3 linked regions of the Sus scrofa genome follow. The protein of the gene in region 3 interacts with the protein of the main gene of each other region in a pairwise test. Links are inferred from orthologs where the notes say so. Each region holds a gene or a part of one and is shown on either strand. Other genes may lie near its edges.

Region 1 (6,181 bases), on a different chromosome or scaffold from region 3:
GGGGGGGGGAATGTAAGTGGAGGAGGAATTCGTCGAGGAAAATAGTGGGAAGTGGGAAAAAGAAAGTGAGTAGTTGTTGAGAGCAAGGATCGAAAGTTTAGAAGCAAAAAAGATAACAGGTGATTTAACTCAGGAAGAAAATAAGGGTTAAGCTGGAAAGGAGAATAAAAAAGACATGTGAGGACAGTATTTATTTGGGGATGGGGCAGAGATGACTGGGGTGCTTAGTGAAAGATTGAAAGTGAGGAAAGAGAGTGCAGGGGAAACATAGATGGTTTAAATGTTGTGCCCCGACTATTTCTGTGTTTAAGAGGCAAAACAGAGAGTGGTCTAAAGGAGGGGAGGGGTTTCTTCTCCCTAAATTCAGCTTGAGATGGCTACCCAATATCCAAATAAAGATGACCTTCAGAAAACTGGGAGAAACAGTCTCAAGGCAGAGCGTGGAGGCAAAGAAACAGATCTTAGGAGAAAGACTGCAGGAAACAGGAGAGGGTGAGCTGACTCGGAGGGAAATTTGCAAATGGAAGACCAGAACGGAACTGCTGAAGAATCAATGAAAGATGAGGAAATACCTAATAGTTAATTGGAGAACTAATAACATGCATGGAGAATGAATTAAACAATTAAAGCAAACCCTCAAAGAAAGAACTGTGAGAAGTGAAGGTGTCACTCTTGAAAGTGAATGCTGGAGTTTCCTGGTGGTGCAGTGGGTTAAGGATTTGGTGTTGTCACTGCCACAGTTGGGGTCTCTACTGGGGCGAGGGTCGAATTCCTGGCCTCAGAACTTCTGCATGCCTGAGGTGGGGCCAAAAAAAAAAAAAAAAAAAAGTGAATGCTAAGGTAGGGCCAGTGGGAAACAAGGCAATCCAGAAAATCTCCCCAGGCTTTTCCACCCAGATTAACCAGGTAAACTGGACTAAAAAAAGTATGCATCTGTAAGCAGAGCTGACAATCACAGTGTGTTTGTACCTCACAGGATTCTTTGAGGATTAAATTTACCCCTGTAAAGCCCACAGAACACTATGTGACATCTAGCACTGTGCGTTCACTATTATTATAAGTGGACTCAAACTCCAAAGTCTTGGGTTTGAGAACTAGCTTGGGCAAGTCCCTTCATCTATCTTAGTCTCCTCCCTCACCTGAAATTGAGTAGAGCTGACTTGACAGGTGGCTGTGAAAGAGGATAGCTGAAAGGGTTTTGTGAAATGTAAACTACAAATGGATGGCATCTTTGTAGCTCCCCCTCCTCAACCTCTAATAAAAACTTAAGAGCTAAGGAATTCCCCTCCTGATGCAGAGGAAATGAATCCGACTAAGAATCGTGAGGTCGTAGGTTCGATCCCTGGTCTTGCCTAGTGGGTTAAGGATGCAGCGCAGCCGTGAGCTGTGGTGTAGGTGGCAGACGCAGCTTGGATCTGGCGTTGCTGTGGCTGTGGTATAGGCCAGCAGCTGTAGCTCTGATTAGACCCCTAGCCTGGGAACCTCCATATGCCACTGGTACGGCCCTAAAAGGACAAAAAGATAAATAAAACAATTTTGGCTGGGTATTGTTTTTATCCATATTTTACAATTAAGAAACTAGGTGTTAGAAAGTTTAAGCCCGTGATTTGCCCAAAGTCCCACAGTAAGCAAGCGGCATAGCAAAGAATACAAGATTCCAAGTCCAAGCTCATCAGAAGAGTACAGACATTGCCCAACCTGTTGTTTGTTGGATAAATGACTGACCTTGTATAACTGCCAGGGATTTAGGGAGGGAAACAGAGTTCCCAACAAAACACCTTGATCAATAAGAGGAGTGGGTATTTTCTTGTAATGCAGCAGGTTAAGGATCTGGCATTGTCACTGCAGCGGCTTTGGTCACTGCTGTGCCGCGGATTTGATTCCTGGCCCAGAAATTTCCACACACCACGGGTGGGGCCAAAAATAAATGAGAGGTTGTTGGGAAATGACTGACTTACAGAGTAAGTGGAAGAATTCTTGCACTTTTATTCAAAAAACATTTTTTTAATGACCCCTAGGGGCCAAGCACTGTATCAGTTAATTGGTGACGGTTCAGGTCCGGGTTGGTCTCTGTTTATGCTGTTTTCCTCCACTTTCTCTACCCCTAGGTTTTCTCGTATCCAAATGGAGTTTCCCTAATTTCCCCGCTTCCAGGCGACCATGGGACCTAAATAATGTCCCCTTCCCTCCGTCTTTCCCCTTCCCGGAGGGCAGTTGAGCGGAGAACAGCGGTGAGCATCCGCATCCTCTGCGCTTTGGTGTCCATTGACCCTTCCGCCAGTCCCCGCCCCGCGCGGGGGCGTAACCGCCACTCCACCCCCTTCCCTCCCGTGGAAACGCGAACTTCGGCGGCCGCCGCCCCGCCCACCGCTGACATCACGATCAAAACAATCCTTTAACTACAAGTCCCAGAAGGCCCAGCGACTGCGCCAGGTGGTCGCTCGCAGCGGTTCTGGCACGACTACATGTCCCAGGGAGCACCGCGCGTCCACATCTCCTCTACTGCGCAAGTAAGGAAACGCCCAAGTTTCCGGCGTGGATCTAGGCGAGCGCGGTTAGCAGTTGGTCTGAGTTTCTGCCTAGGAGGGCTTTTTGATTTACAAGGTTGGGTTCGTGCCTGTACAGGTAAGGTAATAAGCTTAGGAACGCACCGTCGCCTCCTTGGAGCGTGGACAGGTTTCACTGTCTAGGGAGGCTAGGACAAACGCTGGATTTAGAGCTGCGGTCTGGGATCAGAGATAATTCTTCGCTTTTCCTCGGCGTTTTCTAGTTCACGAACTTTTTTTCTCCTCCAGCAATCCCTGTTAATCCCCAGAACTTTGTGTGTGGAAGGGGAAGTGCCTCCAGTTGACAACTGAGGAAGAGGTGATTGATTTCTCTAAAGACACTACCTAGTAGTTGCTGAGCAGGGCCTTAATTCTGTTTTCTAAGTCGGAAACCGGAAACCGATATTCTCTGCTTTACATCGAATTACTAACGCCTTTCTTGTTGACTAAGAGGCTTAGGGAGTGGCCATCTGTTGCCTTTTCAACTCTGGAATATCCCAGTTGAGTGGTGAAGGGGGCGATGAAGGCGATGAAATCAAGTCTGTCAATCTGTAGAGACTGCTTTCTTTTTATTTCTGAGTCATTTATTCCCTCGGTGTATTTATAGAGGTGCCTTTGGGTTGTCTAGCCCCATCCTAGGTACTAGAGTTCCAACCCTTACATTCTTGTGAGGGTAGACAGACAATAAACAAATATATAGTGAAGCGGATGGTGATCAGAGATAAGGAGAAAAATAAAGCAGGGTAAAGAGAAACTGCCAGTGAAGGATTTTGAACTGAGTCCTAACTTATGTTTAGATCTGACATTTGTGTTCTAGGCACAACAACTACGCAGAAAAGATGGGAGAGGAGGCCAATGATGACAAGAAGCCAACAACTAAATTTGAACTCGAGCGAGAAACAGAACTTCGCTTTGAGGTGGAGGCATCTCAGTCAGTTCAGCTGGAGCTGCTGGCTGGCATGGCAGAAATCTTTGGCACAGAGCTGACCCGAAACAAGAAATTCACCTTTGATGCTGGTGCCAAGGTGGCTGTTTTCACTTGGCATGGCTGTTCGCTACAGCTCAGTGGTCGCACCGAGGTGGCTTATGTCTCCAAAGACACCCCTATGTTGCTTTATCTCAACACTCACACTGCCTTGGAGCAGATGCGGAGGCAGGCAGAGAAGGAAGAAGAGCGAGGTCCCCGGGTGATGGTAGTGGGCCCCACTGATGTGGGCAAGTCCACAGTGTGCCGTCTACTGCTCAACTATGCAGTGCGCTTGGGCCGCCGTCCCACTTACGTGGAGCTGGATGTAGGCCAGGGCTCTGTGTCCATCCCTGGTACCATGGGGGCCCTCTACATTGAACGGCCAGCAGATGTTGAAGAGGGATTCTCCATCCAGGCTCCTTTGGTGTATCATTTTGGTTCCACCACTCCTGGAACCAACATCAAGCTTTATAATAAGGTCAGAGCCAGGGCCAAGGTGGGGTGGAGGGAAGGGCTGCTGTCAGGGTTGAAAACTGTGCAGAAGTTTGCTAATTAAAACTCTTTGCTCCCTCTCGGCTGGTATATTGCTCCATGATTTTAGGAAAGACAATTTGAAAATAAGTCCATCTCAAACTGTTAAACGTTTCTGCGGACCCATTCTTAAGTAATTTATTAAATTTCCATTTCGGACATGAAACAGAGGAGACAGAAGAAGCAACGCAAAATAAAAATTAAATCCATGTTACGGGGTCAAAACCACAGCCATGAAAAATGTCATTTTTCTTATACCTGATACCACTTGTTCTAAAGAAAGATAAAATAGCCTTGGGTTTGTTTCTTTTGGTGTTTTTTTTTCCTCACTTTGCTTCTTTCTTTTGCAGATTACATCTCGCTTAGCAGATGTGTTCAACCAAAGATGTGAAGTGAACAGAAGGGCCTCTGTGAGTGGCTGTGTCATTAACACCTGTGGCTGGGTCAAGGGCTCTGGTTACCAGGCCCTGGTGCATGCGGCCTCAGCTTTTGAGGTGGATGTCGTTGTGGTCCTGGATCAAGAACGACTGTACAATGAGCTGAAACGAGACCTGCCTCACTTCGTACGCACTGTGCTGCTCCCTAAATCAGGGGGTGTGGTTGAGCGCTCCAAGGACTTCCGGCGGGAATGTAGGGATGAACGAATCCGTGAGTATTTCTACGGATTCCGGGGCTGTTTCTATCCCCACGCCTTTAACGTCAAATTTTCAGATGTGAAAATCTACAAAGTCGGGGCACCCACCATCCCAGACTCCTGTTTGCCCTTGGGCATGTCTCAGGAGGACAATCAGCTCAAGCTGGTCCCTGTCACTCCTGGCCGAGATATGGTGCACCACCTCCTGAGTGTTAGCACTGCCGAGGGCACAGAGGAGAACCTTTCTGAGACCAGTGTGGCTGGCTTCATTGTGGTGACCAGTGTGGACCTGGAGCATCAAGTGTTTACTGTGCTCTCCCCAGCCCCCCGCCCCCTGCCTAAGAACTTCCTTCTCATCATGGATATCCGGTTCATGGATCTTAAGTAGAGATCAGCAGGAAGCTTTGCTGCTTGGGGGCGTAGAGATCTCCTGGCCATCACAAAGGCAGATGGGTGAAGTGTGGGAATCTCTTGAGACCAGGCTGACCAGTAAGTCATGGACTAGCAGAAAGCATATATTCTACCTCTTAAAACAGGTGATAATAACCTAACCCTTTTGATCTTGAACCAAAAGGAAAACTGTAAGAATATAATTGGTTTCTTAGATTACCTAAGGTGTCACTTTGAATTCTTTGAGTTCCAGAAAAATCCCATTTCATTCACTGTGCTACTATGTGGACTAATTCTGAGGAGGGATTTTTTTTTTTTAATATTACTGCTTTATATTCTGTATATAGTACTTGTTATCTCGTTTATGCAGGGTGAAAGAGTGAATTTGAAGGACTCCTTCCAATAAAGTTCATATTTGGGAAAAAAAACTATTTTAATAAATATTTTTGCCATATCACAGAAGTTGGTATAAGTTGTTTTTTTTAATTTTGTTCTTTTCCTCATTGTGGAAACATTATTGGGGTAACTTATTGTTGAATGTCTAGAGAAAAGGAAAGCAAAGAGTTCACCTGTGAGCTTAGCGAGTGGCTTGGGTCACTGCTGTGGTTTGGGTTCAATCCCTGGCCTGGGAAACTTCCACATGCCTCTGCCAAGGCCAAAAAAAGAAACACAAAAAAATGTAAATTGAGTTTTCAGGGGATAAGCTAGGAAAGCCTGTTCTTTTTGATCTCTTGCAAATGATTAGTGTTCCTAGTTTGGACTTGTATTATTAAGTATCTGATGCTCTTCATTCATTCTTTCCACAAATTTTCATCATACACCTACCATGTAACATGGGCCATTCTAGATGGGGGGAACAAGATAGACAACGTCTTACGGAGCTTACATTAGAGAATAAATATTAAAAGATGAGTGCTGGAGTTCCTGTTGTGGCACAGCGGAAATGAATCCGACTAGGAACCATGAGGTTGCAGGTTCGACCTCTGGCTTCGCTAAGTGCGCTAAGGATCTGGCGTCGCCCTGAGACACGTGAGACGCAGACTCGCTCGGATCTGGCCTGGCTGTGGCTGTGGTGTAGGCTGGCAGCTGCAGCTCCGATTAGACCCCTAGCCT
Region 2 (6,081 bases), on a different chromosome or scaffold from region 3:
TGTGGTGTAGGTCACAGCCGTGGCTTGGATCTGGTGTGGCTGTGGTGTAGGCCAGTGGCTACAGCTCTGACTTAATCCCTAGCCTGGGAACTTCCATATGCCTAGGGTGCAGCCCTAAAAAAACAAAACGAACAAAGTCTATCCATCTGTTTGTCCTTTCATCCATCCTTATAAGGTAGTTTATTTATTTATTTAGTCTTTTTTTTTTTAGGGCTGCATCTATGGCATATGGAGGTTCCCAGGCTAGGGGTCTAATCTGAGCTATAGCTGCTGGCCTATTCCACAGCCACAGCCACACCCACACCAGATCTGAGCTGCATCTGTGACCTACACCACAGCTCATGGCAACATTGGATCCTTAACCCACTGAGTGAGGCCAGGGATGGAACCTGCAACCTCAGGGTTCCTAGTTGGATTTGTTTCTGCTGCGCCATGACGGGAACTCCTGTTTTTATATTTATTTATTGGCTGTGCCTGCAGAAGTTTCTGGGCCAGGGATTGAACCCGCACCATAGCAGTGACAATGCTGGATCCTTAACACATGGAGCTACCAGGGAAGTCCAAGGCAGTATATTTTTAAATTAGGATAGTTCTCTCTACCCACCATCCACAAAAGTGGCTTGTGTACTAAAAATACATGCTTACAGGAACTCACCAAAGGTCTCCTCCCTTGTAACATTTTTTTATAAAAATGTTATCCATGTTACATGATGAGTGAATGGAAGCTCAGAGAGATGAAGTAACCTCTCTGAAGTCACACAGTCAGGAAAAGGTAGAGCCGGCTGTGAGCCCAAAGAGTTCTTTCTGTCCCCTCCCCCACCTCTTAGTGCATCACTGCAGCCTTGTGGACTGGAAAATCCTGCTCAAATTTCACCCACATAATGAGCACACTGGCCAAGGCCTGACAGGCATTTACACTGAGAGGCTATTCTACAGGAACATGAAAAGGAGAGCAGGGCGGGAAGCCAAGGAAGGAAAGAGGCACATCACTTATTTAAAGGACGTGACCTGTGGGCAACTGCAATTGTCTGGAAACCTAGCAGACTGACCTTGAGCTGATCCTGACCATGTGTGTGCTGACCCCGAATGAAGGTATCTCTACCTGAAATCCAGGCTTGGAAGCAAGAATAGGAACCCTTTATCTTAGAGGAATGGGCACTCTGTAACCTTTATTTATGACTGCTGACCCCCTCTGAGAATTTAGTGAAAGTTACAGACTCTTGACACAGAAAAATACACCAATCTACAATATACTGAATAAGATTTCAGGGGCTACTGGGACCATTCTATGATTCTAGGTTAAGCACACTCAATTTTAGAGCATTTAAGGATCTAAAAGCTTGAACTGGCTTTCTTTGAATATTTAAAAAGGCAAGGCTCAAAAGCATATGGAACAATTATGGGACAGCTCTGAAGACCTGGGGGGCATGACTTCCTGGAAGGCCTCTCATATACCTTGAAATTGTTGTTTGAACCTCACACACAATTCTGAAGATCACCCAGGAAGCACCCTCGAATGGTGGATGTGGGAAAGGTTCAGGGATTTAACAAAGGAGCAGCATTGGGGCTGAAAGGAGCCCCAAGGGTCTATGCTCACTCACCCAGTCCGGAGGCTTCAGGTGCCCCTTACACAACCCTCCATGTTTACACCTCAAGGCTCTTCTGGGCTCCAGAATCGTCCATCTCTGCACTAGCTCCACCAGGCTGACTTACTACGTCCAAAACACAACTCCAAATATCCAGGCATTATTCTGAATTCCTCTTACAGCAAACCTGATATTCATCCCTTCTGTAGGCAGGTCAAGGTCAGTTTCCGAACTATTCCCTCTGCTTCCCTCCCTGCTGCCCCTATTAGCAAGAAAGCAAAGGTCCTATTAAATTGTCATTACATTTAAAACCACTCCTTTACTTAAATCTCCCAAGACTTCCAACTACCAGAATGACATCCCAGGTCTTTGTCAGGTCCTACATGACCTTCCCCAGCTGAACCCTGACACCACCTTCTGTCACTACTCCCTGGGGTCTCTTAAGTTCTAGACGCACTGTCTTTGTACTGCTTCTGAGACTGGCCAGGCTTATTCCTGCCCCAGGACCTTTGCACTTTCTGCTCCTTGATGCTTCCTGTGTTCTTCCCCAGACTGTATGTGTTCCATTCTCTCACTGTGGTCACATTTCTGAGGCTGATGTTTGGGGCACATCTTGCAGAGAGTCCTTCTCTAACCGCCCTGACTGCCCCTTTACTCTGCTTTATTTTAATTAGTTCCCTGAAATCACAGTACATGTAATTTCAGGTGCTGGCTTCTTGGTCTCCCCTGCCAGTAGCTCCACCCAAGCAGCTCTATCTGTTTACCTCTGTGTTTTCAGCACCTAAGAAGGTCTGGCTCACATGAGACCCTCAGCAATCACCCGGCGAAGGAAGCGCTCACCTGTATCCAGACTCCTCACCTTCACAAAGATCAGGGAGGTAGGACTGTGTAGGAGTTTCCAAGACCCTGGGCTCCAAAAGTCAGAGCCCAGCTCTGTAGTTACTGGCCCTGGAACCTTTTAGGGGCAAATGACCCTTTCTCTCAAAACTACAGTCTCCCTATCAGAAAATGGAGGGTCATGAGCACTGACCTCATAAAGATGCCGTGAGGATTAAAGGAGTTCATGCATGTTCATCACTTCATACAATGCTTGGCACACAGCAAGGGCCCAGTAAGTGACAGCCGTGATTACTACCATGGTTACACCACCACTAGTAATGGTACTGTCACATCTGCCATCATCTCCAGAGGATCAGGGCTGCCTGACACAGCTAGACCACATGCTAATGAGAGGCCGTGGGCTCTTCTAGGATCCCAGAGCAGATAAGAAGAAAAGCCTGACTTGCTGCGGGCTTCTATCCCAGGCTTTTCCCCTTGACTGTTTTCTTGATCATTCTGGACACACCCTCCACTGCAATCCAAACATTCTTATCTAAGCCAGGACATCATTTTAGAAAAAAAACCCAGCAATAGTGCATATAACTCATCTGATGCCAACCCTGGTTCTTGCACCTGCCAAGCCAAGAATCACTTACGTAAATCTGTTCCATACTTAAGTCCCACTTTGGGCACCCAGCCCTTGCTTCGGAAGTGATGGTAAGCCATGTACGTGGTCCTGAACGTAGGCTGGACTCTGGTGAAAGCGTTCCAGAGTTTCACAATCGTTAAAGGCTCCTAAAGTTGCAGGGGAAAACAAGGCATTAATATGTATGTGTCCACCTGTTATCTGGCCCGGGAATCAATGTCCACACTAAGTATGAGCTGAAGATAAACAAGCACGGGGCCCATAACAAAGGGTTTAACCAGAAGATCCAGACCTGTGCTGTCTGGTGCGGTGGTTGCCAGCCTGAACTGAGACATGCTGCAGCGTAAATACATACTGAATTACAAAGACAAGAATGGGAACTATCTCAGTAATTTTGACTGTGTTGTATTAAATAAACTATGTTGATAACAGAAATCAATTTCAGCTGACTTTGTATTTTTTTTTTTTAAAAAAACCCTTTTAATGTGCATCCCAGGAAATTTACAATTATGCATGTAACTCCCGTCTGAGGCTCCCCCTGCCACCCCGAGACAGCAGCACTGGAGATGGGAGCAGCCAAGCCCTGCGTGTTGGGAAGAGGGCAGTGCTGGAAGGAGAGGAAAAGGAACAAATGTCCAGGCAGAGGAACGGGGTGGCCAGGTGTCACCCAAAGCTGGGGGTGCACGTTCCAATGGCCACAGACCTACCTATGCTATGGCAGGCCACATCCAGAAAAGTCAAAAAATAATTCTGATAAGCTTTAAAAAAAAGATGCTCCATTTAGTCTTTGGAACTAGGGAATTTATCGCATGACACAAAAAACCTAACTGCTTAGAAGAGAATCTTGTTTCTAAGGTGGGACTTGAAGACACTGAGACCGGTTCAGTTCAAAGAACATTCTGATATGTCAAAACAGTAACAGAAAAAAAAAGCTAAGTTTGACAAGTTTTCAGCACTCAGTAACTAGATCAGTTCTTCAGTTGGTTTATGGTTCAGTCATGCAGTGAGACTCACTCAGTGTGTTTTAGCCTGGGACGTTAACACCATAAATGTGAACTAGAGTTTGGGTGCTGTTTTTTTTTTTTTTTTTACACAGTTGTTCCTAAGGTGGAAATTCTGTGTGTGTGATGTTCAAATCCACACCCCACCCCCATCCTGCTGCCCCCAGACAAGGAACAGTCTTGTAGAGAAGACTGAACTTCCACTTTGGGCAGCCCCTGAGTTTCCAAGGCCGAGGAACAGCTGTGATGCTCTGACAAATGTCAGCTGAGGCCCAGGGGAGGGGGCAGGGTGGGCTACAGAGGCCACCATCTGGAAAAATGAGTCACCCATCAGTCAGACACCTGTTTCCAAATATGTGAAGAAGTTGTATATAGTTAGAATCTGAGGAATGATAAAAAGATGTACTCTGAAGAACAGACTACAATTACTTTCTTTGTTTTTTTCTTGGCTTTTTAGGGCCACACCTGCGGCATATGGAAGTTCCCAGGCTAGGGGTCTAATCAGAGCCGTAGCTGCCGGCCTATAACATGGCCACAGCCATATGGGATCCGAGCCGAGTCTGCAACCTACACTGTAGCTCATGGCAACACTGGATCCCTGACCCATTGAACAAGGCCAGGGATCGAACCCGCATCTTCATGGGTACTAGTTCTGCTTACCTTTTTCCTCTTAATTTTAATGTGAATTATTTTGATTAGGTAACATGTTCACGTGGTCCAATGGGCCAAAGTTCAGAAAGCAGAGTAGAGTGAGCTGAAGCCCCCATCACTCCCTCACCCTGCGCCACCATCCCTAATCCTTCTATCAGAGGGAGGCCTGGCACAGACCTATGATGGGACTAACGTTCTTCTCAGGGCAGCAGTTATAGCACAAAACCACGGGCACTGGAGCTGCCTCCAACCAGGTTCAAACCCAAACTCTATCCAGACCAGCTGTGTGACCTGCTTATTTCCCGAGCCTCAGTGACCTCAGCTATAACTCTTAGAGATGGAGATAAGGATCAGAAGTACTGCAGGTAGGGAGTTCCCATGATGGCTCAGTGGTAACAAATCCAACTAGTATTCATGAGGATGTGGGTTCCACCCCCGGCCTTGATCAGTGGGTTAAGGATCTGGTGTTGCCATGAGCTGTGGTGTAAGCTGTGGACATGGCTCAGATCTGGCGTTGCTGTGGCTGTGGTGTAGGCCAGCAGCTGCAGCTGTGATTGGACCCCTAGCCTGGGAACCTCCATATGCCTTGGGTACTGCAAGTGAAGTACCCAACTCACAGCCCTTCCTGAAGCAGGCGTTAAACATGAGCAGTTTTCGTTCCTGTGGTTTGTGTCTGGTACGACTGTGACACAGGTTTCTTGAACGCTATGTAAGATACTGCTCTCCTCCTAGTCTCTGGGAATGGTATTTAGTCTAAAAGGGTCAAAACTGGCTTTTGCCTGAACAGTCCCAATTCAGGACTCAAAGCCTAGATTTAGAGAAAAAATTCAATCTGATTTTATCCACTGAAAATAGACACATTTGTATTAAAGCAATATGGAAATTACTACAACCCACTTTTAACATCAGGGAGATTTCTACGTGGATTGTGTATAAATAAATTCTCTTACCTTCTCATAGTAAATACTCAGACATCCCAGAGCATAGACCAGGAAGAAGGCCTAAAACAAGACAAGCAGAAAATGCTCATCAGAAACTGCCCCACTTTCTTCAGAAGTTATTTAACATACTGATTTCTCTTTGCCTTAAATACAAATTAATGTCCTTATCACCATCCGATGGTCACATATTTTAAAACATACATGATTCATTCAAATTTCAAGGATTAAAATGGGAATGTCACAAGATGGTTTAGAATCAGTAAAAAACATTTGTATGAAATTTTCCATGCATTAACCACATAGCTAAACTGAAAAATGATGTAACAAAACGGTCTAACAACAACCTTTGCTCACTGGATTTTCCTTCATAAAATAACCATATTAAGCTGAGGAAAAAAAAATTATAGAAAGAACTACGTAGAATTTGTGGAGAGTGG
Region 3 (5,189 bases):
CAGGGCCTTAGCCCTTGGGTGTGGCTCTGACCCTGACCCACTTTCTCTGGGCCAGTCCCTCACGCTTTGCGCTGGGAGCCCCAGGCTGAGCAGTGGGTCTGTGGCCCACCCCATTCTCACCCCACAGCTCCGTCCTGTCCCCTTACGAGAGGCAGCTGAACTTGGACGGCCAGCACTTGGAGGATCGGCACGGCAAGAGGAAGAGGAGGAGCGCCAGCTCTCGGTAATGCTCCCCATGTGGCCACCGCCCAGGGCGAGCCGGTGGCGGAGTGCTGGTGTTGGGGACCTTGGAGAATGCCTGGGCTTAAGAGTGGGGCTCGGGCGGCTCCGGCCCAGGCTCAGGGAGGCAGCAGGGCACGTGTGGGTCACGTGCACCTCAGCCATCAGGAGCAGATGTGCTGCATTTCCTCCCCACGTCCCTCAGGTCCATTAATAAGAAGCCCAAGGCCCTGGAGAACCCCCTGCAGGGGGTGGATGGGACACCCGAGAGCCTGGCAACCTCCAGCCCACCTCCCCGAAACCAGAACAGCCGATGCCCAGAGGAGAAACCCCAGGAGTCAAGCCCTGTAAAGGGCCCAGAGGGCCCCTCCCAGCTTCTGGGGTCCCTGGAGCCCTGCCCTGGTCTGCCCAGGGAGGGGGTGCGGTGCAGCCAGGAGAGTGGCAAAGTAGAGAATGGGGTCCAGGGGCCGTGTAAGCCACGCTGGAACTTTGAGCAAATCTCCTTCCCCAACATGGCTTCAGACGGCCGCCATACCCTCCTGCTTGCCCCCGCGCCAGAGCTGCTCCCGGCCAATGTCGCCGGGCGGGAGACGGACGCCGAGCCCTGGTGCCAGAAGCTCAACCAGCGGAAGGAGAAGCTCTCCAGGCGGGAACGGGAGCAGCAGGCAGAGGCCCAGCACTTCCGGGAGGACGTGAACTCAGATCCCGAGGTGCAGCGCTGCTCCAGCTGGCAGGAGTACAAGCAGCTGCTGCAGAGGCGGCACCTGCAGAAGACCCAGAGCCGCCCCCCACACCTCTGGGACCAGGCTGTCACCCCCTTGCTGAGTCCTGGTCAAGCAGACTCCCCAGGTACCCCCTTGCCCTGCCGTAGGCCGCTGGCCACTGAGGAATCGCGAGCCCTTGAGAGGGGCTCGGATTGACCTCGGCGGATGGGGGAGGAGAGAGCTGTTGGGGGAGTGGAACCCACAGGATGGTCCGTCCTGGGGAGCAGCAAAGAGCCCCAGGCGGGAGGGTTTAGAAAGGGTAAATCAGTGGCCAGGGAGAGGTGAGGAGAAACGAAAACTGCAACCTCGTCCTTAAGATCATATAAACAAGATGCATGTGGACAGCCCTGCCACCAGCCGGCTGCGGCCCCTGTTCTCCCTCCTCCGTTAGAAGGGAACAGGGAGCTGATAACGTTGGCCAAATAAAAGGAAGCTTTCCTGTACGCCCTGCACTTAAGAGTAGAGAACTAGTAAGGCAGGAATGGTATTATCAGATTCAAAACTACTTTTAATCCTTGGGGGAACATGGTGAGTTGTAAGTAACTAGAGTAGGGTTGCCAGGGCAGTTACATTTGAATTTCAGATAACTATTTTTTAGTATAAATATGTTCCAAATGTTGGATGGGACATACTTAATACTAAAACAGCAACTACTAAAAAAAAAACCCTGCAGAATTCCATGGTGGCTTAGCAGATTAAGGATCCAGCATTGAGTTCCCATCATGGCTCAGTGGCAACAAACCCGACTAGGATCCATGAGGAGGCGGGTTTGATCCCTGGCCTCACTCAGTGGGTTAAGGATCCAGCATTGCCTTGAGCTGTGGCGTAGGATCCAGCATTATCACTGCTGTGGCACAGGGTTCGATACCTGGCGGGGAACTTCCACGTGCTGCGGGCATGGCCATAAATAAATAATCTGCTAAATCTGGCCACCCTAAACTAGATGGCAGGTTCAGAAATGTCAGGGAAGTCTGGGTGGATGACTCCCCTCACCCACGCCTTAACTTTCACCATCTTTGTAGCCACAGCCCTTCAGCTTATCTCTGTGCTGCAGACAACACACCTTGCCGATGGAGGTGCCCGGTGAGTTTCCAGGTAGTGCCTGACTCCACAGTACTTTGGCTGCCAAGAGTCGGCAGCTGGGATGGGACTCCTGAAGTTGGGCAGGAGCTGGGGGAGCATTCCAGGGACCCTCTACTCTGGCTAACGTTCACGTGTGTCCAGGGGAGAGGGAGGAGTGACAGACAGTCATCCCCAGGGTTCCAAGATAAGGTAGCTGAGGCTCCTCGGTGCCCCTGGGTGGGATGGGTTGGGGGGGCTGTTCCCTGGACCTGAGGGAAGGAAAGGGTGGTGTGGAAAGAAAAAGTGGGGGAGAGAGCCCCTGTTTCCTAAGGTTTCTCACGGTCCTCAGGCTGCTCGAGAAGTCTGGAGGCTTGGAGATCAGCTTTGATGTCTACCAGGCTGACGCTGTGGCCACGTTCCGAAAGAATAACCCCGGCAAGCCCTACGTTCGGATGTGCATTAGTGGGTACGAGAGACCAGTGAGCACTGCTCCCAGGCTGCCGCCAGTTCTCTTGTAAACCAGGTGGACCTCCTCTCGGTGCTCCTGGCTAGTTGTTAGTCCCCGAGAAGAACCAGGGGTCCGGAGCGAGGCCTCAGAGCCGATGAGCGCTATGGGCACCCAAGCTTGCCAGTCCTCAGCTCTCATTCCTGGCATTTTTGAGTCGTCTCTCCTGTGCCACTTTAGTCCCAGGCTCAACTCAGCAGAAGGGATGTGAATCAGAGGGATTTTCAGGCTAAGAGTCCCCTTACCCAACCAGGGCTCTGAATCTTAGCAGAGTCATGCAGTCTGCGGACAGGAGAGCCCAGGGGCCAGACCTCTTGCACCCCGACTGCTGTGTGAGAGCTTCCCTTCCCTGGGAGCTTCAGAGGGCTGGGTTCTTTTTTTTTTTTTTTTTGGGGGGGTCTTTTTGCCTTTTCTAGGGCCGCACCCACGGCATATGGAGGTTCCCAGGCTAGGGGTCTAATCGGAGCTGTAGCTGCCAGCCTACACCAGAGCCACAGCAACGCCGGATCCTTAACCCACTGAGCAAAGCCAGGGATCGAACCGCAACCTCATGATTCCTAGTCAGATTCATTAACCACTGCGCCACGATGGGAACTCTGAGGGCTGGATTCTCAAATCTTATGGGCAGCCCCTGTTCAGGTCTCAGTCTCACCTTGATTCTTGCAGATTTGATGAGCCAGTCCCAGACCTCTGCACCCTCAAGCGGTTGTCCTACCAGAGCGGGGATGTTCCTCTGATCTTTGCCCTGGTGGATCACGGAGACATCTCCTTCTACAGCGTCAGGGACTTCACGCTGCCCAAGGATGTGGAACACTGACCACGCAGCTCTGGCAGGGCCTGGGGTCTGCTCTGGGGGACCTGGACTGTCTACTCTCAGGGACCATCTCAGTTGCCTCCTACACCCAGACTCTGATCTGTAGCTTCAGGGGCTAGTCTGGGCCTTGGCCCCGGGTGTCTGGCGCTTGCAGGAGAGCAAAGCCTTGCCCCCTGCCTGGCTGCTGCAGCGCTTCCAAGCCCCACGTCTGAGAGTGCTGCTTTGCAGTGATCCCCTGCAAACTCAGGACTAGATTTCAGAGACCCAGCCAGGTGGGGCAGAAGAGAGGACTCTGTGCCTTTAATTGAGAGGGTGCCTGCTTCAAGCGATACAGCCAAAGCCATTAAAAAAAAAAAAAAAATCCCCTTTTCTGCTGTGACTGAGTATACTGGATGAGGCCTCCCTATCCCCACCATCCCACTGTCCGAGGATGGGGCCCCCAGGCCCTCACCCCTGCTTTGCCCACCCACAGAGAGCGCTGCTTTCTCGCGGGCAAGAGCTAAGAGGGCAGGAATGCGACCCCTCGCCTATCTGAGGGAAGTCCCAGACCTGTAGTTAGCTTGGCTTTCAGAAGGGTAGCCCAAGGAGGGAAGCTGGCACCCATTGGTCCTCCCCTAAACGCAGCGGAGGTCCGGGTGGAGGAATGGCCCGAACCCTAGTCGTTGGGAGCTGTGTGGTGCAGCGCGCCATGCACGCCCAGACCTCTGCTCCCGGCCTTCGTCATGCTAAAAACTCCGGTCACAGTTGCTGGCCCTCGGGGCCTCTGGTGACAACGACTTGTAGGAGGGTACAGGCTTGGGGCCCACCCAGAGAGGAGGCGCCTCTTGGCGACGCCTCTCTCCCCAAGCCACCTGGCTCTTGGGTCCCGAAACTTGGCCCTGTGTCAGACGTCACCCTCTGATTGGGCTGGGCGCTTTCAGGAAGAGCCAGCCAGGCTATGCCCCTCCCTCGGGGCCGCTCCGGACCGGGTTGTGGGAGGGACCTCCCCCTTTATGGAGTTGGGCCTGGAAGGTGGCCCGGAGCCACTTCGCGTTCCGGGAACTATTTTCCTCCCCGGGAGGCGGCGGGACACTGGGCGCGGCGTGCCGTCCTGCGGCCAGGTGCGCGCAGGTGAGGTCAGGGGCGGGCCGGCAGTGCCTCGTGCATATTCACACGGGTCGCAGCCCCGCCCCCGCGCTCCCGGGAGCCGCGGATTGGCCAGGGCGCGGTCCCCGCCCCTCGAGGGCGCACTCCTTGCGCCCCCGCCTCGACGGCGCAGGGCTTCAGGAGGCGGGGCCAGGCTCGGGGGGCGGGCTGCTGGGGCCCGACGCTCTCTCTGGGTTCCGCCCGCCGGGCCGGCTCGCCCTTTATGTAAATAGAGGCGGCTCCGCCCCCAGCTCGCCGCGCCGGAGGTGAGCAGGAAGGAGACGGCCGCCCAGCAGCCCGTGGGCCGGCGGCAGGGTGAACAGAGCCGGCGGCGGGCGCTGAGGAACGCGGAGGCCTCCGGCGGGAGCCGGCCTGGGGTTCCAGGTGAGGTGCGAGCCGGGACCTAATGAGCAGGGCCCGCCCCCTCGGGGCTCCCGCCACTCTGGGCGAGGAGGCAGGGGAGGGCCAGGACCCTTGGCTTCCCTGTGCCGGGTGGGGAGGGCTGCGCCCAAGTCCGCTCGCCTCGCCCAGGATCCCGTCGTTCCGCTCGACGAGGAGAAAGACACCTGTAGGAAGTGCCGCTGGGAACTTTTCTGTGACTGATCTGCCCGCGATTACGGAATTTGGGTTTCGGGTTTGCACAACAGCGTTGGCTTTGGGGAGCAGGGAAACAGGTGCTCGGCCCGGCTGGGTGCGAGGG

The links.
Region 1: the proteins of TSEN54 (region 3) and CLP1 interact in binary tests that used the Homo sapiens proteins (3 or more experiments, as listed by UniProt). The link is inferred for Sus scrofa from reciprocal best matches to the Homo sapiens genes TSEN54 and CLP1.
Region 2: the proteins of TSEN54 (region 3) and TSEN2 interact in a two-hybrid assay, tested with the Homo sapiens proteins (2 studies listed by BioGRID and IntAct). The two-hybrid records come from large-scale screens. The link is inferred for Sus scrofa from reciprocal best matches to the Homo sapiens genes TSEN54 and TSEN2.

Annotation. Positions count from the first base shown.
Region 1 is NC_010444.4:13,281,506-13,287,686, reverse strand, and holds CLP1 (polyribonucleotide 5'-hydroxyl-kinase Clp1), read left to right. Parts: upstream 1-2,478; 5' UTR 2,479-2,625; intron 2,626-2,795; exon of another isoform or gene 2,796-2,865; intron 2,866-3,343; exon of another isoform or gene 3,344-3,363; 5' UTR 3,364-3,385; coding exon 3,386-3,991; intron 3,992-4,394; coding exon 4,395-5,066; 3' UTR 5,067-5,530; downstream 5,531-6,181. UniProt on the Homo sapiens protein: Polynucleotide kinase that can phosphorylate the 5'-hydroxyl groups of double-stranded RNA (dsRNA), single-stranded RNA (ssRNA), double-stranded DNA (dsDNA) and double-stranded DNA:RNA hybrids. dsRNA is phosphorylated more efficiently than dsDNA, and the RNA component of a DNA:RNA hybrid is phosphorylated more efficiently than the DNA component.
Region 2 is NC_010455.5:68,506,637-68,512,717, reverse strand, and holds part of TSEN2 (tRNA-splicing endonuclease subunit Sen2), read right to left. Parts: intron 5,705-6,081; coding exon 5,654-5,704; intron 3,201-5,653; coding exon 3,062-3,200; intron 1-3,061.
Region 3 is NC_010454.4:5,845,706-5,850,894, reverse strand, and holds the end of TSEN54 (tRNA-splicing endonuclease subunit Sen54), read left to right. Parts: intron 1-127; coding exon 128-223; intron 224-424; coding exon 425-1,068; intron 1,069-2,005; coding exon 2,006-2,066; coding exon of another isoform or gene 2,067-2,070; exon of another isoform or gene 2,071-2,078; intron 2,079-2,394; coding exon 2,395-2,511; coding exon of another isoform or gene 2,512-2,563; exon of another isoform or gene 2,564-2,568; intron 2,569-3,216; coding exon 3,217-3,367; 3' UTR 3,368-3,725; downstream 3,726-5,189.